3 linked regions of the Styela clava genome follow. The protein of the gene in region 2 binds, or shares a complex with, the protein of the main gene of each other region. Links are inferred from orthologs where the notes say so. Each region holds a gene or a part of one and is shown on either strand. Other genes may lie near its edges.

Region 1 (7,369 bases), on a different chromosome or scaffold from region 2:
TATATCCCAAACTACTAAGTCTCCATTGTACCCAGATGATATAAATTTGGTCTTTGAATTTTGCGGCCAATGTATGGCAGAATATAATCGTGCAACATCCTCATTTGTTTTGCGGCCTGAAAAGTTAATTCAATTTATTATTATGGCAATATCAACAAAACTCAAACCAGTAATGATCTAGGCATTTATTTTAATTGGAAGCCTGTTTAAAAACTTAAAAAAAATAAAGTATGTTTTAAAAAATATAGTTAGGTACGCTCGCTGTTTGGGTTGTATAACTCGGAGTAAAACTATTTTACTTGGTGATATTTGTCACCTATTTATATACAATTGTTTGATCAAAGCATGGTCATGTGCACTCACTCAAAAGAGGGAGCCTATCTCGAACATGATTCATTCATAAAGTAAGTCTGGTTGGGTTAATGGGTACTACTCCCGAAGTATGTGAATCAAGATGGCGGACACCAGATCGTAGTATGTGTACCAGGTTAGGGTTAGGCCATAATTTTATTCCAATTTTCCTTATTTCAGTTCTATTACGAGTTCGGGGACTAGCCAAGTGACTCCAATAGTATTTGTACCTAAAATTATGACCTAACCCTAACCTGGTACACATACTACGTTCCGGTGTCTGCCATCTTGATTCACATACTTCGGGATTACCGGTCAATGTAACTAAGATCCATGTTTGGATAAGTGCTATCCACAACTATATTTACCCTTTTTGACTGTGTTAGGAATCTTCAATGTTCTTCTACATTTTCCTTCACCTATACTCCATAGTTTGATAGTCTTATCTTTACTACCAGTCGCAATAACACCCTCATATCCACTAAAAAATAAGATTCCATCTCAATTAAATTGAATCATATCGAATTCAACAAAATTAATAAATGGTAATAGGAAAGTTTATTCGAAGATTTGATGAAAAGGGCATTATAGTTCTACTATGTAAGTTGCACAATTCAATTCAACTGACAATTCAGTTGACGAATCCTCAAATTCATCACGATACTTACGGTAGATAGTATTTCTTACTCTTCAAAATTTTTCCGTTATCATCTTGCGTCTTGCTAATCAAAAAGTTTCATTCAGATACGAATATACATAAAGTATGACATGTCAAATTTCAACTGATTATAGAATTTTCTTTGTTTATCCTGAGAGGCGCCATCACATTGAATGAACATATGACAAATTGGTCCATTGGGTACGAAAATGGTTATCGTATATTCTCGAATACAAGACGAGTTTAAAACTCAAAAAATAGTTGCCAAAATGAAGGGTCTGCATATATGCGCACAACTCTGATCGCACTGAAAATTATGCATATGCACAAGGCACAACTCTGATCACACCCAAACGAAATGACATTAGGCTTATGTAACCTAACAGTTACAACTCTAACCATGCTAAGTTTACATGATAAGAGCGTACAATTTGTAGGGTTGGCTTTCATGCGAATTTTTTTAGGTTCACCGTTTTGAGGGGACCAGTTGAGATGGGTCCCCTGGAAGTTGAAAAGGAATCAGAGAAAGTTATGTTAACTACTTTAGGATCCGTCAAAACATATTTCAGTATGTAAGGTCAGTAGTAAAATCCATTAAATTGATAATTATGTATACCCATTTGCTGCAATCTCCTCTTCATCCTTCGGCCCTTTACTTGAGAACACTAAATTCTCATCTTGAAATGGCGACCATACAATCGAATGTACTTCATTAGTGTGACCTCTCAGTTTCTTGATAACCTGTTTGTACAGTGGAAATATAACTAAAATAAATTTTTTGGAAAACAAACATGTAATACATACAGTTCCATTTCTTCTTATGTCCATCAATGAGACTGCTCCTGATTTATAACCAATTGCAACAATGTTTTCATTGTGAGGTGAACAAGTAAGACATCCAAGATGCATCTGACTGCTTCCATCTGGATAAAACCGGTCTGTGCTGCCTTTATCCAAATTCCAACAGACAACAAATCCTTTCTCATCACCAGAAAGTATCAGGGATGGATTTACTACAAAAATGAATAAAAAATGAGAAAAATCAAGAACTAAATAAATAGGAAAATTCAAATTTTTAAAAAATTTTCGAATTTCAAAAGGATTGACGTTCATTTCTGCAGTTATTGAAAAACATGTCACTGATAAAAAGAAACTAGCGTCAAGCAGACATACACTGTGGAAGTAAAAGTAGTTAGCTATCACAAATAAAGCATTTCACAGCATTTTATGACAGGGGCAAGCTGAAAAAAATACGAAATCATCAATAGAATACCTGGAGACCAATGCACTGATATGATTTTATTGCTTCCATGAGCAGATTGTTCATGAAGCATTAATTTTTGTCGAACATCCCATACTTTAACGGAACAGTCATCAGCTCCAGATGAAATCCGAAGTAATTGGTCTTGACCAATGGTAGGACAGAAAGAACATGTTGTAACTTTATCAGTATGGCCACTCAGGATACCTAAAACAATGATATATTTGGCCATAATAACATTGTAATTAGCACATAGACAGGTTCACAATATACAACATCTGACTTATGCTCATTGCTAACCGAACCCTGGAGTAGTGATGTATAACAAACAAATAAAAAATTACTGTACAAAAATTCTATAAATCAATAACAGTATAGTTAGGTATACCAGTGAAATTCAGATCAATCTAGAATTTGAAATCTAATAATTTTTTAATAGACCGACAAAATAAAAATTTTGTTCAGATTCATTACGTTACACAAAGGGGGAAAATACTGATTCAAACCATAATTTTTCTCCACAAAATGCAAATTACGGAACTAGAAAAAACTGTAACCACATCTTAAAAATCCCATGGAAAACAAATAAAAAATCCCATGAATAATCCTACCATAAATTTCAGCTCTCTTTTGTGTCAAATCCAATAAAAATACCAAATTTCTCGATCCAAATGCAAGAATTCCATTATGTGAGGTATCTATACCTCGAGACTGATACCACACTGGTGACGATGGAAGAACAACCATATTTATACTAAATATTTTACCATAAACATCTAACATACAAAAATTCTTTGATTAGATGTTGTTACATAGTAGAAAAAATGAAAATCTTGAGTATTAAATATGATTCTTTGCAATAATGAATAGTCTTATACCAGGGGTAAATAACACAGGGCATACATGTTTAATGCGGCACACCATGAGCACGAACATGACCCGCATATGGTTTGGTAGGAGGTAATTCTTTATGGAAACAACTGCATCTCAGCTACAGACTCGATTCGCAGATAAATATTTAGATTTAGTGATGCGCATCGCTATTTCTTCTTTGAAGCCCAACATACCAAATTTTAACTTCAGAAGTTCATTCATATTACCAATACATATTCGAAAGTGGCTTGGCAGCAACAACATTATTTCAACATTACACTTTGGCACATATGCTCATTGGAAATGTGTACTCCGGGTATATACAACAACATTTTTTATATAAAAATTCAATTTGTAGTATAGATATTACCACACCAAAACAGGAAAATACCTAAAAAGAGCTTCCCATAACAAACAAATATTGCAAATGAAAATTGAAATTATTGCAAGTTTTTATCAAACAATAGAAGTGTGGTACACTAAATGAAATCTCTCAATGGGTGCTTTAAATTTGATTCACGAGACATAAGCAATGATCATTCACAATAAATATAAATATAATAATATTTCACTTGATTGAAATCTCAGAATTTAACTCTTTAATTTTTGTTTTAGCCAATTTTAATTGAGATTGCAGTGTGCTTATATCACCAATGATTATGGAGGCTTTTCGAAATTCAATTTGGCATTGCCGAAGACTTTGTGGAACAAGCACACCAAACCAATTTAATGGATCAGTTGGGGTTGCAATTTTATCTTCTTCGCTGATATCAATATCAGAAACAGCAGATGGCAATTCATTAATAGAAGACTGGACGTGATCAGTATCATCCGTTTCAATGTTTTTGTCTTCAGAACTGCTATTGCCTACATTTCTTTTCCTTAAAATTGCTTCTTTTTGATCACCACTTTTGGTTTTGTTTTGTTTTTCTGATACTTTTCTTTCATTTTTGTTATGTTGAACTTCAAATTTAGAAACCTCATCATCGTTTTGTTCAACATTAACAGTTACATTTGCACTCATTACAGAAGCATAATTCAGTTTAGATACTTGTTTCATTCCCATGACATATCGTGCCTTTGACATACAAAAAAATCCATTCTCCATACATGTTTGTAACTGCTGCTTTTTCTCGTGAATTTGTTGTATTATTCGCAAAAGATTAAGATATTGAAAATCCAAATTCTGTTTTGAAGCCATTCTTGCGTTTTATAATTTGGTAAAAAGAATGACTTTTACTGAAATAAAACGGGCACATTGTTATGAAATTCCAATATCAGAATATCTATTTTTAGCACCTTCTCTGCTGGATGTCTGCCGGACTGGATGAAAAAAATAAAACAGTCTGACAGTTTAAATAAATAGTGAACCATGGGTGCATGATTTGAGATATTTCTAATCAATCGTATACCAGTATACTGGTATCCTGTAATGTTATATATAGAATTTGGCTGCAAACCAAATTTGGGGTCTCGTGTAGTTTCGTACCTAACGTACTTCTGGTGGGCGTAGCATAACAATTTTTTGATATGTCAATCCTAGGCCCCATCTGACTACGCCATACAAAAATTACGTCACTACAGCACTATGACATCACAATCACGTCATAGAGCTTGCCAAAATACGTACAATCGCCCGAAATGGAATTGGCGCCGACGATAAAGAGCTGACTGACGTTATCGATCTCTCTCCTATTGGAATCGTTGCCACGAGAAAAATAACTGTTTGATTTTGGGTGCTCTTTTGCGTGTCTTGGATGGTAGTTCGAATAGTTTGAAGGGCTCTATTACGTCACTGTGACGTCGTGTTGATGTAATTTTTGGATGGTGTAGTCAGGTGGGGGTTAGGATTGATACGTGAAAACATTGTCATGCTACGCTCACTAGAAGTATGTTAGGTACGAAACTACATGAGAGATGAGACCCGGTCTGTGCATCTACTGCCTACTGGCTTAGAAATTTTTCTATAATTTTTTCGAGTAGACCAGAGCCTGGAAAAGCCGCCCTGGATGGCACTGAAACTATTTTTATTGAATACAGATCCTACCGGTACATAGCTGATAATGTTCCGGCACACCATACAGCATACACGATAACACGAATAAGCGGCTTGCTCCCGCACCGCGCACATGTTTGTGTTGTGCTTCATGCATCTCCCTGCACTTTAACGACATCTTGTGGTTATCAGATTTACTTTCCATTCTCGGTAGGTATTCGTGAAATCGTGAGTATAAACGATTCTATTTTTCCTATTGTTTATTGCTTTTACTGCATTTTGCAAACTCCTGTTATATGGATAATTGCTATTTTATTGCTAAGTTTTACAAATGGCCAATAAACATAAAAGAAAAAAATCATATGATCAATGTTTTTTAAGTTCAGTTTCACTGAAATCACGACAATATACAACATGATGCACAACTCCGGCATTTGTAACCGAAGATCGTATCCGATAACACGCTTCAATCAATGACATTAATGTCATTGCTGAAATAAAGGGCCAGTCGAAATGGGTTATTTGTATCAAAGGATGAAATTTAGTTTTTGGTGAGTTTAATGATTTTTGGGCAGAAGGCTATTACTTTTGTGCATTCCTAAATTTTCTATAAATTCAATGAGATTTAATATTTTATCCAAAATTTTGATATATTTTTATTTTCATTGGAACACGGCAGTTTCCGGTTTAGACAGGACAAGCAATCCGCCAAATGAAAAGGGTGGTTTTAGAGTCAAACTTCTAAGACGCTTTTTGACCAACTGAGTAATACGAATAACTTCTGATGTTGTTGTCATCATAGCGCATTGTGAGAAAAATCATCAAAAATATTACTCAGCACAATCTTCACGACAGTTATTGTATTTCATCATTTTTTAGAAATTAACAAAAACGTTCTCATCTCCCAGCCCACTGATTAACACTCTGCGTCAGAATAATCCAAGTCGAAAATTATAAATAAAACGAAATGTATATGTGGAAATCATTTTATTAATAGAAAAGTGAACAAATAATTTACAGACACGATGAATGATTAATCTAAATTGTAATAATGTGTTGATACAACCACTATATAGTATTATTTGTCGTGAAAAGTTTTGAACATAAAAAGCATTCAATATTAGAAAAATTATATCTACGGTATATGCCAATTGCCATCGACAGTTGCAAACTAATATCTTTCTATAAAAAAAAGAAATTTTAAATACTAGTTCTTGTAAAAATAATAAATGATGGATAAGAACGTATAGAGAGAGTAATGATGTATTTTTATTTATAATTCTATAAATATATATAAAATTTAATTTGCTCTTAACACGAGAGAGCCTAAATGAACCTATCATCTCACTCCATTGTTTAAATTTTGAAGTATGATATTAAAAATGATATGTAAAATGATGAACGGACTCGAAACTGTAATTTTGGGGGCCACCAAAACAAGTTCAATCGGGAGCTAGTACATTGTGTGATGTTAGCTTTCACTCGATCTAATTTTTCTTGCATTTCATCCCATTTTTTCACCGTATTGTAGATTTAAGCGTACGATTTCCTAGTTCAAATAAGCTGTGTCAGACAACCTATTTTCAATATGAGTCCCTGTCACCCCCTCGCTGTACTCAGCTTTGCTGGATCCGTTTCTTTGCGAATCACACTTGTGACGTTGATGTCACCATAGTGCTTTGTGTCGTCATCGGTCGTCGATTATCCTGCAGAAAGTGACGTTAATTGGTATTAGTAGTAAATGGTCTATTATGATATAGATTTTGTAAGAAGGATGATTATAACAACAAGAGATCGTTACTTTGATAGTATCTACAGCTGTTAATGTAGGGTACATGTAAAGATGCGTTGAATACGATAAACAACATCAATTCATTTCGAGATTTCGTAAACACACATTCAGTTACATGCAAACATATTGCTGTATTTTAAACTTTGATGTAGGTCGTTTCGATGTTGTTAGATTGTCTATAATAAGTTTAAGTACAACTCTGATTTGCTTTTGCCTTGGTTCAGAGATATATTCAAAACATTACTACACAGGCAACAAGCTTATGCAAATAGGTCAGCCTATGAATTCAGAACGCAAGCCAGGCAATTAAAATTTGAGCATGACATTCATTAAACGTATAGTAAGTAGTAACTATGGGAAAACATTGAAGTGGATTCCTGCATACATGAAACGTTGAGGATGGTAACAACAATACGGAATTCCTAACCTAAATACTTT
Region 2 (7,957 bases):
AAATTAAATCAACGCTTCTTCGACATGAGCCACGCCCTATTTTTGAATCGCATGTTTGGATATTCAGCAAACATCGTTCTTTTGTGCATTTGCATTTTATGTGAGGGCACACTGTTCTTGGAATTTTCGCTTGCGTATAATCGTACTTCTCAAAAACTGTATTGTTCGTATTATTTGTTTCATTTTCAAAGATAAATAGAATTAAAATCTAGGCCTATTCAATAGTGCCATAGCTAAATTCCAAGAATATTACCAACGTATAAAGATCATCGAATGGTTGCGATCATTCTTCTATAGGTTTTCGATTTCGAATTAAAACCATAACCATAACCATAAACTACAAATATTAACATTAATGGTTCGGATCTATGGAAAGCTTTTCGTTGTAATAGTTGGTTCCATTACATTTGCACCCACGTACATTTGCACCCGTATTTTGAACCCACGACAGTTGCACCTGCATACTATTGCACCTATGGACATTTATTTTACGGATATTTGAACCCATAATAACCCTAACCCATGGATGTTAGCACACGCATATAGATTGAACCCGCAGATATACCGATGCAAATGTATGGGTTCAAATGAACGTGGGTGCAAATGGACGGTCATCTAATAGTAGTATGTCACATTGCTAGTGTTAATGGAATATGTTTTTTTGGATGATAGTTGAATCAGTCCAATCTACGTCAGTCTAATCTCAGTCTGCGTTTCTTTCCTTCGAAGAACATTTCATACCTATTTCAATGTCTTCAAATATGTTGCTTTCCTGAACGATCATCAAATTGTAAAACTAGCGAATAGTCGCGAATAATTTTAATAGCGAGGATTACTGCATTACTAAATATGAGTTTCTTTTGAGTGCTGTTAACGAAATGACAACAATTTCACAACAATATAATGGAAGAATGAGAAAAACAACAGACTTAATAAATACATTACCTTTGTTAAAGTTTAAAAATTGTGGCTTGGTACCCCTGGTAGTTGTAAACAACTTCATCGCGTGTGTTGCGGACACACTGTCGGAGTAAATGTTGCCATACAGATGGAAGGGAGACTATCATACTAAGTTGTAATCTTACCCCGAATGAACAACAGGCGCCAGCACTGAATGGTATTTGAGAATGTTCTGTCATATTGCTGGTTGAGAGTATGGCGATTTCGCCCACGCGGAATTCCAACAATGTAAGATTAATGTATTTATAACAACGTTGGAAAGTACCTCAACAAGTAAAAAATAAAAAACAGGTAAAGATAATATAGCTCAAGTGAAGCAGAAACGAAATTACAATGCACCAAATTCGCGTGAGATATTAGTTTTGTGCTTTTTTAAATTAAAAAAAAAAAAAAAAATTGTTTTTAAACATGGGGGTATGATATAAAATTTAAACATCTAAAAACTGCATGATGTTAAGTTTTAGTGGAGTAGATATTTGCTATCAATTAGGTTAGAACAAGAGAAACGTTTATAATTCTGGCGCGCGTTGCCATAATTTGTCGTAATGTACTAATTCATCCAATACAATGAAACGTGTATTCAAATTAAAACTAGTTATAATATTATCAATTAGTTTTGCGGAAATTATTCATACCGTTCAAAATGTATTATTTATAAATTACCATATGTAACTACATGGGTATAGATACAAAATATGGGGTTCGGCTTTGTCGAGATATTGGAGGTTTGTGAGTTGAAACATTGATAATATTCATGTCATGATACAGAACTTCTGTTGTTTAGTGAAAATTTACACATAAGTTTTTGGATATAATAAATTTTATCGGAAAAAACCTACCCGCCTAATTAGACCACATTATACAACTGTACCATAGCGAGGCTAATTATATCATTCTGATCAAATTATTAAAAATTATCTGAATATGAATAAATTACCACGCTCTCCCGAAGAATTGCCCGTTCCTTGGTATTCCTTAAGATACTATACCATATTGATAAAGAAATTCAGGTCTAATAGTATAACAGTAAATTTATTAAATATTTTTATAGGCTAAACGCAAATTCTGTTCATTCTTTATATATATGATCTTATTGATTTTTTTGCCATTCTACGGAAAACTGAATCAAACACTTAGACTGCAAGACGACTTCTCAAATTATTTTTGTAAACTATAATTGAAGCTAGAATGATATGAAATTTGATGGCTGATGCTATACCTGAATGTGGATATTGCTCAGGTCATAAATATGATTTTTATATTTATAAATCGCAAATCCTCTATATGAAACAAAATAATATACGTGATAAATCATGAGAAACATATATCATTTTTGGGTGATGTGGTTATTTCACGCGGATGCTTAACAGACGAATATCCGTACCAGTTAATATAATTTTCTGATAGTAGATAATATTGGACCATTAATCGACCTAACTACCTTAACGATGAAAATTTTCTATGCATTTGATCTTTATTTTACTTCCCAGCTCAAGATCGACATTTTCTCTCGAACTCTTGAAAGTTAATGAGTCAGAATCCACATACTATGACTACAACATTTTCGCCCAAATTGTTCAAGTTCAAAACATTTTTGCAGCCGGAATTTATAAATATATCCTACAACACTAATGGAATATACAAATTTGGTTGTCGGTAAAGGATTTTCTGGATTCCGTTTGGGTATTATCTTTAGGGTTTTGCTCAATTTACTTCAATAGATAAAACCCATATTTTTGAATGAGCTAACCAGTTTCATCAACAAAATTTATAGATGCTTATATATATATAAGTTCAAAAACGTTGAAGAAATTTCAGACAGAGCCAAGTTAAAAGTAACCTGAAACAACGCATATTGAATTATCGTAGAACCATAGGTCTTTGTAAAGTTCCTAAATATATTGGGAGTTGAAACATTTTGCAACGCACCATTATAATTAGTATATATATATAATTTAATTATAAAATAGATGATAGAGTTGATTTTTGAGAAGTTTCAAATTTTGGTTTTCAGCCTCTCAGTACTAACATTCAATACTGAAATATACTAATACTAAACTTAATCAGCGTTTCCATAAAACGTGTCACTCCATACTCCTGAATATCATCTCTCACGTTTTTTTATATTCAGAAAACATCTTACTTTTGTACATTTGTAAAAAATTCTTCTTTGGGAATTTTCCCTAGCATAAAGATAATCGTATTTTTTGAGAACTGAATTGTTTGCAGTATTTGATTTATTTTCAAAAAAAAAAAATCGAATTAAAAACTATTGGAGTAACTTGATTTTCAATACGCAACAATATCATCTTGACTGAGTGCAAATAAATTAATGTGGTTGCGATTGTTTACCTTTTCGTTTTCAATCCCAAATTGAACTTGAGACATCTTGTAGTTTCCCACTGTATCAGTACTATATTGAATTGATAATTCAAATTTTTTCCTGAATGAGATTAGAATCATCGAATCTAAGAACATTCCATGGCAATTTCGTGAATTTACATAATAAAATATGTAGCATACTAAAATATGTGTTTTTTCTTGAACAATGGGACAACTGCAATGTAAGAATCGCGGCTGATCGAGAATATTTGCAAATGATTTCTAAATGGGGACGGTGAGGTTTATTACAAAAATTACTAAACAAAGATTTTATTTTGAACTTAATATGAGTTTTTTCTGTTTTCTGTTAAAAAAATCACATTCGATTATCACTTAGTGTAACTGACAAATAACAAAGCGCCCGTAAAAATTATATTGGTATCGCTAAGCTTAAAAGTCAAAGACAATTTGGTCGATATTTGTTGAATAAGTTTATAAATTGCCGGAGTCAATGTCACCACACATATAGATAGAAGAATATCATACCTACTAAGTTTTAATTGATAATTTAAAAATAGGATCTTACTTCAAAAAATTGGCATTGGTACTGCATAGTATTTGAGAATATTCCGCCATATTGTTGTAGGCTATCTAGGTATGACGATTCCGCCCACGCGGAATGTAGGATCAATGTAGGCTATTGATAAAAAAAAAACATTGGAAAGTACCTAGAAAACAAGTAAAAAACGTAGAATGCGACAAGAAAAGCGAAAACTAAATAACCTGATATATCTTGAACAGTTACGGAAGGTGGATCAGTATTGGGTTTTATGCTTTTTTAACTTCAAAAACAGCTAGTTTTTTGGGGTATTACTGAAATTATTTGATACTTGAAATAATCAGGTTAAAACAAGGGAAAAGGCCAATCGACTACTTCACATATTAGTTTCGCAAATCATAATTGAACATTATGAAACTTGGTATCTGAATGTCTTAAAACACCTGAATGTCTTAAAACGCAAAAATTGAGTTTTATCATTTATAAATACACATCCTTTATGTAATATAAATTTTGTAGCGAAGATTTATATTTTCTATTTTCTGGTGTTGTTGATTTGTCTTGTTGGTTATTTTCCGAACAGTTTATATTCAACCCAGTTATCTATGTGGTCTTACTAGTGAACTTACTACTGAATTATATTAACACCATTGGCCAACCTGTCAAGCGTTGGGAATAAGCTTGTCACCGCAGCTCTGATCGCTCTGCATGGGTTCGCAGGTTCGAATCCCGTAGGGGTTGATTATGTGAGAGGAGATTGCTGGACTACTCGCTGACGTATTGTGGTTCACGTGATGGCTGGTCGGTTCAGCTTCCTTCACCATCAAGTCCATGCATCTGGAACAAATAACTGGCTAACAAACTAATCTCATACCCGACATGGACTGGTAACCAGATAGAAGGCCGTGATTTGCTCTATGATTAAACTGTCTTATCGGCTTTCTACTCCACCGAGATAAATATGTAACTAAATCCTAACGATATGATATTAACTCGATGATTCGATCGCCGGATTTGTTGCTGCAGACTCGGTACCACTCAACGTGCTGTTTTTCGATTCTTCCATAGTTTACTGAGATTCTTGACTGTGTCCTTATTGCTGTATTGTGAGTCGACGCAGCTCTCGTCTTCTTCTTCCCACCAGCGTTCAGTACAGTGTGAGTGGTGCAGTGTTTGCAACGTGCCGTACCGTATCCTTCGACATTATTCAGTCAGTCTGTGCTGCGCACCAAACCGTGTGGTCGCTGATCGGGCGTAAAAGGTGGACCTGTAGGCCGTAGGGTAGGCTACGTTGTCGCTTTTATTGCTCACTGGCTGACTGGTGTTGTTGACACTGATATAGCCTAATTTGAATTAGTTGTGCACAGTAAATTAAACTGTACTGGTACCAAGATATTCTAACTGTTCCACCGTTCAGCGATAAAAAGGATGACAAAGCAGACACCTCTAACATGCAGTGGCCATACTCGCCCTGTCGTGGACTTGGCTTTCAGCGATATAACTGAAGATGGCTATTTCTTGATCAGCGCATGCAAGGGTGGGTTCATATTAGTTAATAAGCAGTTGGGTTAATTTGCAATGCTTAAAGCACTAACTGAGCAAGGGTTGAATAAAATGAAAAATTTATCTTTTATTCTATATTCTGGTAAGATTGTAATATTGTTACTGTATTATCCAGATGGAAAGCCGATGTTGCGACAAGGACATACAGGAGATTGGGTTGGTACATTCCAGGGACATCATGGTGCAATATGGGCTGCTACTTTGAATAAAGATGCAACAAAAGCAGCAACTGGAGCAGCTGATTTCACTGCGTATGATGCTAACGGATTATATTTTTTTATATATTTGAAATCTTTGACAAGAACATACTCCCATATAAAAATACAGAAGCATGTATTCCATATAGACTTATTTTTAAAAGGTGTTAAATATAGTCTTATAAAACGATGTAGATGAAAAAGATCATCATATGAATTCAGATATGTATGTGATATTTTAGAACACTTAAGCATCCACCACCAAAGTTTGTTCAAAGCACAATCTTGCAGTTTTATTCTAAGATGAGGCAAATGCAGCAATGCAGAGTTAAATTAGGTCTAGTTGACTTAAGTAGAACTTAAGCTAAACATAACTCAATAATCAATTTTGTGTAGGAACATCTGCAATGATACTTTTTACAACAAGATCACATTATACTGATGGGTCATAACTCAATGATTCTAATCCGTAGCGAACTAAATTCGGGCAATTGATGATCTATCAGAAATGATTCAAATTTAAATTTTGAATTCATTGACTGGCTGTTTGTTTCTGATTAATTAGACAAACATTGTTTTCTATTATCTGTTAATCATTTGTTTTTTTATACAGTAAACTCTGGAATGCTGTCACTGGTGATGTTGACGCATCATTTCCACATAAACATATTGTCAAAGCTGTATCATTTTCTCCAGATGGATCAAGGTTATTAACAGGAGGTCAAGAAAAAACACTTCGTTGCTTCAATATTGAGAAAACAGATGCAGGTTGTAAATATTGGTTGAATACCTTCATTTAAAATATCTAGTAATTCATTTAAAATAAATAGTGATATGCCCTCACGAAAGCATGACAGTTTTCAACAGTATGTCAGATGAAATTACTTACGTTCGAAAGTAAAATAATACTCAAAACCTCTAGAAATTAATATAAATTAGTAGTTTCTATATTTGTTATTCAGTGAATTTAAAACAGGTATGTGGTAGCCTACTATTTTGTTGTAGAAATACTAGTTTATATGATTTCTTAAATATTATTAATCAAGAAAAAGAATTGTACTTTCAGGTCCTTATAGGGATGAAAAATATCTGAGGAATATTTCATGTAGATTGATAGCATATTTTAATTTTTAAGTCTTATTTAATCCAAACTTTAAAAGTGAAAAAAAAACTACCCATTCAACATTTGAAAATGCTTGTTTTAAATTGTTAGATCCAGAGGAAATAGGGAAACATGAGGGAAGTATAAAGAAAACGTTATGGATTGATGAAAAGATTGTTTTAAGTGCGTCAGAGGATAAAACAATAAGGTTTGTTGTATTTTAGCACCATTAAATGGGTTATTTGATGCAATATAGGTAGAATTTAGTTTCTGTTGAGGGGGTCATTTTTTTGTATTTTACTTTTGAGCTATTGGAGTATCATCCAATGTAGGGGTGTGCAATATTTTTGTCGATGGGCCATATAACCAACTTCACACATCTAGATGGGCCTCACGAAAAAAAGAATTCATGCATGCAACGAAATAAAAAATTCTTCTAATGCAAATTTTTTTTTCAACATTTTAGTGGGGCACTTGAAATATGTTTGTGAACATCAGCTTTACTTTGGATTTGTTTATGTAAATTTTTATTTTACTTTGGGCATTCTCATAACTGCAACAAAGTAAAAAAAACTAATATTTTGCAGGAAGTGGGATACATCAACCAATAGTGAAGTTCAACAAGTTAAACTAGATTCAACAGTAACAGATATTGAACTGTCGCAAGATAAAACAACACTTCTTGTCACCAATAATAAAACCATATCTATATTCGATGTCGAAAGGTTTGTTTCCTTCTATACTCTTGTTATCTTTTGTTATATACTATTTTTATATATATGTTTTGGCCAAATTGGTGGCATCAATATTGTGTGGACGATTTCAGTACCAGATATAACCAATTTTAAAACGTTATAATGGGAATTTAATAAAGTTCTGTACAACAAAACTTGTCATTAAAGCTTGTCATGTTTGAATTAATCATTAGTTAATTAATATTGCAATATTTCTCTTATTTTTTTGTATTGAATCGAGTATTATTACATCCTTATTTGATTGTTAACATGTCTTGTTTTGTTTGTTGTATTGTCCTGTTGTTATTATTAAGATCACAGTTCAGTTGGTTGACTTCATAATATCATTAATAGTTTCAAAAGTTTCTTTCCCAGGCGCTATTCAATTAATGGTACTCCTGAAGTATGCGCACCAAGATGTCGCACAACCTGAACCCTAACCTGATACACAACCTGAGTTCAAGTTGTGCGCCATCTTGGTGCGAATACTTCAGGAGGTCCCAAATAATAGTGGTAAATT
Region 3 (7,401 bases), on a different chromosome or scaffold from region 2:
TCATTTAAAATGAGCAAGCTGTGCTGGAAGCATGACTAATCACTAATCCATAAATCTAATGCACCACTATCAACCAACACTGGGTTCAGTTGTGGCCTATAATCCCCAATATGAATGATGTTTAAACCAACCTCAAGAGTGGATAAATCAACTGTCCTATCTTCTTCGCTATTAATTTGATCAGCAAGTATATCAGCAGTTGTTCGTCCTCCAGCAATTAAGGCATTCTGTAGATTGTCATCTTCATCTGACTCTTTTGTATGAGCACCTGTGGGTTTATAAATAGCAAAATATAAACCAGGAAAATTAGAAAATAAGTGGCCTACTAGAATCCTTAACAGATTCATTCTAAAAACTGAAAAATATACAATTAGTGCCAAATACATTTGAAAGACTAATTAAATTGAATGAAGGTGTGACAACTATTTGAATAATGGGACTGCATACGATCATTCTGAATAAACTCCACATGTTCAAATCTTTTATTGGGTGATCTTAATGAAAGGATTGTTCTCATTGCGGGTAGCGTAATGCAAAACATAGGTGAGTTCCATTCATGCATCTGGGAGTTGGTTACCTATTCCTATACCTGGCTCAGACTTAAAATCAAATAAAAGATGGTGATTTGCTATCAGATTAAGGTGTCTGTCTTATTGACTTTCTCTTTCTCGAAAAAATGTGAAATCTTATTTATATCTCAGAGTTAACAATCATATTGTATTATAGGCCGATTATATGAAAAAAAGACCTTGAGATAACGTGGTCTCATTATTGTCTTCATCAGTTTCCTGTTTCTTTCGTTTTAGATTTCTTCCAAAACACAGAAATTTCCAGCTTTCTTCATCTTCCCAAGGAGGCTGAATATATCAAATAATAATACAGAAAATAAAATATATAATGATCTACATCAGGAGTGGGCAAGGTTTTTGGACCGGGGGCCAAAAATTGTGCCCACCTTGACTGGTGGGCCATGTAAGTGTGACTTAAAGTTACATTTTATGAACAATATTTACAGTGTTACAAAAGTAAAAGTGGAAAACAATAATCATTGTGTCAAAACTCAATTTGAACGCAATCTCAACAAATTCCTTGAGCTATTTTTAACTTATCATGAAATTTCAGTTTCAGGCAAGCCAGATTGAATTACCCAGCGAGCCAGATTTAGCCCGCGGGCCGTAGTTTGCCCATGCAAGATCTATATAATATGATGAACAATGCACGACATATTATCAAGTACGCTCCAGACTGAGATCAAAACCATTCAGTTGAGAAATATTCTGAGTGAAAATTTGTGGTTGAGAGACAAATAAAACAACCAATGGTTTTTTTTTTTGAAGAGTTGAGTAAACATTGATTGCAGCTGTGCCCAAGTCACCAACATCGTTTTACCAGATATGAAAAATCAGTAAGTAGGATAGCGAAGTCACGACATTTTGTCCACTATACATCAAACAGTTATTCAAATGGTCAGATTTTCTTTAAATGAATCTAAACTTAAAATTGATACCAAGTAAAATCATCAAACAAGGCATAAGTTTGGCTAATAAAGTGTGACACTTTAGTATAGTATATTAAATGTATAATGAAATTTTACAAACAATGTTTTCTCACCAATGGATAAATTGGCAGTTTTGGCCTCTTTTTTGTTTGACGACTGATAGATTTCAATTTGGCAAGATGTCTGATATATTCTTCCCTTGTTGTTGCGAAATCTACTAATTGTTGTTCCTGCCATTCTTTACTTGGGATCAAATCAGATCTTACTTCAGTTACTTGTTCACTTAGCTGGGTAACAATTGAAAAAATCGTAAAAACCATAAAAAGACAGGTGGATAAACATTGAAAAAATCCCTAAACCATCTCATAAACACATGAATGCGCTTCTTATTTCATTATGCAACTTCATTTTAATGTATTTTTACAGATTTTGAGGGACAACAATGTCCAGACGTCCCCGAAGGGAAGGCTGTATGTTCATCGACAAAATGGGATTCTCTGGAACGAGACAATGTCGCTCGATCTGTAAAGTGTGCCCTACTGACATTTCAATAAGTCTAACATTAACAATTACAACTGCAATATCATTTGGCCAATGCAAAAAAATTCTTTCAAATTTACTAATTAAGAATTAAAAAAATTCTGGACATGGTTTAATTATAACAAATTATAATAAATCATGGTTGAGGAACTTACATATTTTGAAGGTATCGCTGGCTTCAGTTTTGGTTTAATTTTACTTGGATCTATTTTTGCAACAACAACATTTGGTGTATTCCTGGCTTGTTGCCTGTAAAACAATGAATTTAGCAAAAGCCATACAATGGAATTATATTTTTACTTTCTAAATAATATTAAAAGTGTAATAATATTAAAAATATTGAAATAATATACACATTAAAGTAGAACATGGCTGCATAATAGCCCAATGGTCACAAAACGCTAAAAACTCACATAACCCCTCTTAAATATTCTTGGGGATTGCTAGGAAGTTTGACCATTGATACAATTTCTCCATTTTCGATTTCATCAAAATCAACTTTGAAGAAAGGTGTTGCTCCAGGGACAGCGTCATCAATTTCTTCTTCGTGCAAACTTTCGCCTGTAACGCTTATCAGAGATGCCATCGAGCAACTATATTCCGTGAATAATGGCAGAAAGTTTCAAAAAAGATGAAACTCGAGAACGAGTAGCATATACGACAGTACGAAGCCTGCAAGACAACACCGCACAATAACTTTGACCAATGGTTTGACAAACTTGGGGGAATGATGAAGCATTGATGTTGAAGGTCAAGGAGCAGCAAATGAGATATCACGATAAATAGTTTCAATGCAAATAATATCCTCCAAGATATCATATTTATTTTGCAGTGAATCACGACGTCCATTTTTTTCTTACATTTGGTCTTTTTTGCGCGGCGGTGTGGCTCAACGGGCTAAGCGTTAGGAATACGCTCGCCACCGCACCTCTAATTACTCTGAGTGGGTTCGCAGGTTCGAATCCCATGCAGAGATGGTTATGTGCGAGAGGATTGCTGGACTCCTCGCCGTCGTTGGGTGGTTCACGTAACCGCTGGTCGGTTACGGCTTCCTCCACCACCAAGTCCATGCTTACGAAAACAAAACAATATAACTATTCCCATACCCGACTTGGAATGGTAACCGGACGAGAGGCCGTGGTTCGCCATATAGATAAGCCGGCTTATCGGCTTTCCTCTCCCCCGAGATAAATATGTAAATCCTATCCTCCTATATGTAAATCCTATATATCATTGCCTGAATTAATTTGCTTGTCGCACGTACCAGGTGAAAGTTTTCGCGACAATGTCCGGAATGGATAAAAAGGAATGTAGAAGCATATATATAGGAATGAAATACTTGAATAATAAATAAATACAGAATAGGCAGATTTAATGCCGTCGTTGCTGTGAATCGACTACGCTATTTATAATGCACTTGAAACGTTGCAAATTTGCTCACAATTTGCAAGCTGAACACATTATGTAGCTTAGTGCGATTCAAAAATTGTTATATGCTGCCCCGAGTTCATATTTTACCCATTAATCGTGTATAACGAACATTTGCTGTAGAAATCATACAAACGAAAAACAAATAAAGCATGTTATCATACCAATGTTGTCGTTCTACGAGAGGTTAGTGTAAACATACCGCCAAATTTAGATAGGCACTCTCCAAAACACGTGTAACCGTAAATGGAACACAAATAACAAACCCGCAGCCTGATATTAACATCAAATTTCAATTTGCTTTTAAATGGAAGTTGTCTTACTTTTGCATCCATTACTCTGTGAGATGATGAATAAACAGCAACAGTCATGGAGGGCACTGAAAACTTTATATTGGAGGGCAGCGGTCAGTATTTTTATAGAGTATTTTGCATATGAAAACCAAGGCTAGAAAAAACACATTTTTCTGCGCAGCAAAGTTTCTGATAACAAAGAGATTTACCAAAAAGTCCACAAATATTGATTGAAACTTAGAAATTAAAAAGCTGACGTGTACAATACTCCAACCACCAAAATCTTTGAGTTTTCTTGATGATTGAGGTGGAATTTTCCAGGTTTGTTGCTGTGTAAATATTTACATGTTGCTTTTCAGTACTGAATTTCGAAAGTTTGTTTTTAATTTCTTTGGCAGAAAAGCCTTCAGAAAGTCAATTGTAATAGACACGTTTGAAACACTTAATCTTAGATTAAGTAGAAGTATTTCAAATTGTATGCATGAAACAATTTCCACTATTAAATCAATTAAAATTCGTCATCGATATTCAAAGCAAGCTAGCTGGCATTTTCTTTATTGAGTTGCGTCAATTCGTCCTCTTTTAGGTTATTTCGAATATTCTACTGATGGCATACTTGAATATGATGATCACTTAGTCTGTCCATACGTTGACGAGTTTGGTTACATGGTCGAGGTTAAATGTGAAAAGAATACGATGAAATGTTGTTCCTCGTCCACTTCAGAATCGATATCTTACTATTATTGTTGCAAAAGAAAGGACTTGGTTTCGTGAGTGCTAATATTCTGAACTGTTTCGAAGAATTGGGCCGTTTAACTAAATCAAATTCTTCACAAGTATTCCTGATTGGTTTCAGAGAACCCATAAATCAGATTCGATGGTCAATGGCATAATCAAAATCGAATCTAACCTAATTATGAATTTGGTAAGCAAATTTGCAATTTACACCACAAGCGTGTAAAGAAAACCCAGAATAAATATTAGATGACATTTGGCTCTGAATATTCGAAAACGTAAACGTTAATGACACACTCTGAAATAATTTAAAAAAATATTTGTTTAGATTTAGAACATACCTGATTGGTGTGATTCATTTAAAAACAAACTGATGTATTTTTTTTAATCTTAACTCGTTACCTAACTTTGCGAGTTATATAATGTACATTTGGATAATGATATATTTTAGACTAATTACAGTCAACTTTACTTCAGACTGATATTCATACTTTTTTTCACAGGAGCGATATTGTTATCGCAATCAGTGCTGTGGCTGTTATGTTATTCATATTGGCATCTGTTTGCTTCGTTTATTGTGTTTTGTCTGTTCCAGTTTGGTATGAACGAATTAGAAGAGGAAATCGAACAATATCAGGTTCGAATAAAATACTCTTTTTACATAACATGGCAAGACTTCATAGATGCATTACCATATCCCAACAATGAATGCAGTTAGTTTCAAAATTGTAACGAAATTCATTACATCACATTTTCGTCATTATTTAATGTTTGAAATGGACAAGTACATTCATACCCTCACTGAAAAATTTTTGAATTAAATTTGTTGTCAACATTTGCGGACATTTCTCATTCAAAATTGTGAGAGCAATACTTATCAAACGCTCTTTATGTGTAATTTGACGATTTCTTTGTTCGTGCCAGAATTCGCCAACAACTTGGAATTGCAGTCGCTTCACACCCGGGATGAATTTTTGACATCAACAAGTGACAGCCCGACCGAGACCAATCATCATTTCGGTGGGTGACAAAAGTCTGCTTCGGAGAGTTGCGGGAGCTGTTGTATCAATAGTAATTGGTACGTTGATGGGTATTTAACTTCTATAAGCATCCTTCAAAAACAAAGCAATTACAACTGGTAGGAAGTGTGAAGAACAATAACAAACATTATATATTTTAACGATTGATAGGCCATAGTTTATTATTCATTTCCTCAAGGCTGATGCATATTGCTAGATGCGGAGAACTATACATTGTCAACAATTAGGCTAAAAGTCTATTTATGCGTTTGTTATTCATATACCTGATACTATCAGCGTTCCTTGGCACACACGAAAAAAACTCAAGCTGCGGGAAATAAATATTGTTTTTTATTTTCAAAATAATTTTTCGAAGAATGTTGAACATTTATATACACAAGAGCTTAAGTTAAACCCGGTAGGTGAAGATAATTATAGCCATTCTATTCCCAAAAAAGATGAGGTTTCTTGAAATTGAGAGTGAAGCTCTGAGGTGGAACTTATATTCGAGCAAGGCTCTTTAACAGAAAATTTATGAACTAACAACTTGTGTATTTGCTTACCGACCGGACAGAAAATATAGCGCGTGTTGGTGATAATTTCTCTGTCGGGTTTCATTATTTCAAAACAAAATCGTGTGTGTGATAAGAGTTGTATGGTACTTAAAGTTCAGTTCAAAGAAATTTTATGCTCCAGGTCGTGATAGGCTATTTAATATCTACTAGGGCAGGGCTACTCAACTGGTGGACCGCGGTCCAGATCCGGATCCTTTGAATATTTGTTTCGGACCGCACTTGCTTCTTTCTTTTGGAGTATTGGCGCCATGAAAGTTGGATATGCGGAAGTTTTCTTTTATTAAATACCTTTTATTTATAGTTTTAGAGTTAGTTTCATCATTTCTCATACTTGCACCAAACTATATACGAGGAAAACTGTGATGCCATAATAAACTGACCAGGTTAGCGAATAATCACCAGCCGGGGAACTACTATTTTCAAAGATGTCTTCATATATATATTTTGCGGTTACTCAATTTAACATGAATTGCTTTTTCGTTAACTCACTGACCTCGAAGTTAAAGGCAGTTTTCAGGCTTACTGTAAAATAAATTTTCTAAAAAGTCTGGACTCCGCAAATTTTGAAGTTTTGTATCTTGAAGTAAAAATAGTTGAGTAGAACCGATCTAGGGGAAACGACACAAGAGCAGGAATGTAAGTTTCAGAACTTCGAAGCGAATCAAATTAACATCTACCGTATTTCCCGGCAAATAAGTCGCTTTTCTAGACTCAAATTTTTGACCTGATGTTGAGGGGTCGTCTTATCAGGCGAGTATGGTAATTTTCATTTTTTTGGTGTCGCTTTATTATGTATTAGGTAATGTTCTTTTTATGGGGGACGTAATCGCGAGTTGAACACAATAAGATTAAAAATTTAAATAAAATTTGAATTCCCATAGTTAAAGAAAACGTCATTATATAGTGATTTGATTTCCACAAAAATACTTGTTTGAATTTTGAGAAAAATTAACTTTGTTTTCATATTTTTAATAGTAAATGGGGGTAAAACTCTGAAATTAGGGTGAACTCATGAGGGTTATTGATAAATTATCTCCCCATCTTACTAACTGGAAGTTTAAAAGATTTGGCACCCTGATAAAGTGAAAATATTCAGAAAAATACTATACACAATGCTAAAATTAATGATATAAGTAAAAAAAACATTTACATGTATATGATCTAAAATGAGACGAGACATTGAAATAGAAGAAGAGGTTATAGAAAAGGGTAAAAGTTTTAAAGTAGAATTACAGAAGGATGGCGTATTTTTATTTCAAAACTTTGGTTTTGTACGGTTAAAACATATTTTCAATTCAATGTACTTCGCTACG

The links.
Region 1: serine-threonine kinase receptor-associated protein-like (region 2) and gem-associated protein 5-like share a complex: the UniProt entries of both Homo sapiens proteins name them as parts of the SMN-Sm complex. The link is inferred for Styela clava from reciprocal best matches to the Homo sapiens genes STRAP and GEMIN5.
Region 3: serine-threonine kinase receptor-associated protein-like (region 2) and gem-associated protein 2-like share a complex: the UniProt entries of both Homo sapiens proteins name them as parts of the SMN-Sm complex. The link is inferred for Styela clava from reciprocal best matches to the Homo sapiens genes STRAP and GEMIN2.

What each region holds. Positions count from the first base shown.
Region 1 is NC_135263.1:13,920,431-13,927,799, forward strand, and holds the start of gem-associated protein 5-like, read right to left. Parts: upstream 3,054-7,369; coding exon 2,882-3,053; intron 2,478-2,881; coding exon 2,283-2,477; intron 2,023-2,282; coding exon 1,814-2,022; intron 1,751-1,813; coding exon 1,626-1,750; intron 833-1,625; coding exon 720-832; intron 117-719; coding exon 1-116. Other genes in the region: vacuolar ATPase assembly protein VMA22-like, read right to left, coding at 3,712-4,344. UniProt on the Homo sapiens protein: The SMN complex catalyzes the assembly of small nuclear ribonucleoproteins (snRNPs), the building blocks of the spliceosome, and thereby plays an important role in the splicing of cellular pre-mRNAs.
Region 2 is NC_135251.1:26,654,900-26,662,856, forward strand, and holds the start of serine-threonine kinase receptor-associated protein-like, read left to right. Parts: upstream 1-4,933; 5' UTR 4,934-5,269; coding exon 5,270-5,378; intron 5,379-5,519; coding exon 5,520-5,655; intron 5,656-6,214; coding exon 6,215-6,369; intron 6,370-6,814; coding exon 6,815-6,911; intron 6,912-7,290; coding exon 7,291-7,428; intron 7,429-7,957. UniProt on the Homo sapiens protein: The SMN complex catalyzes the assembly of small nuclear ribonucleoproteins (snRNPs), the building blocks of the spliceosome, and thereby plays an important role in the splicing of cellular pre-mRNAs.
Region 3 is NC_135258.1:19,320,400-19,327,800, reverse strand, and holds the start of gem-associated protein 2-like, read right to left. Parts: upstream 3,095-7,401; 5' UTR 2,625-3,094; coding exon 2,452-2,624; intron 2,288-2,451; coding exon 2,194-2,287; intron 1,786-2,193; coding exon 1,612-1,785; intron 858-1,611; coding exon 749-857; intron 269-748; coding exon 132-268; intron 1-131. Other genes in the region: uncharacterized protein LOC120339927, read left to right, coding at 3,836-3,872, 4,346-4,529, 4,998-5,131, 5,419-5,522. UniProt on the Homo sapiens protein: The SMN complex catalyzes the assembly of small nuclear ribonucleoproteins (snRNPs), the building blocks of the spliceosome, and thereby plays an important role in the splicing of cellular pre-mRNAs.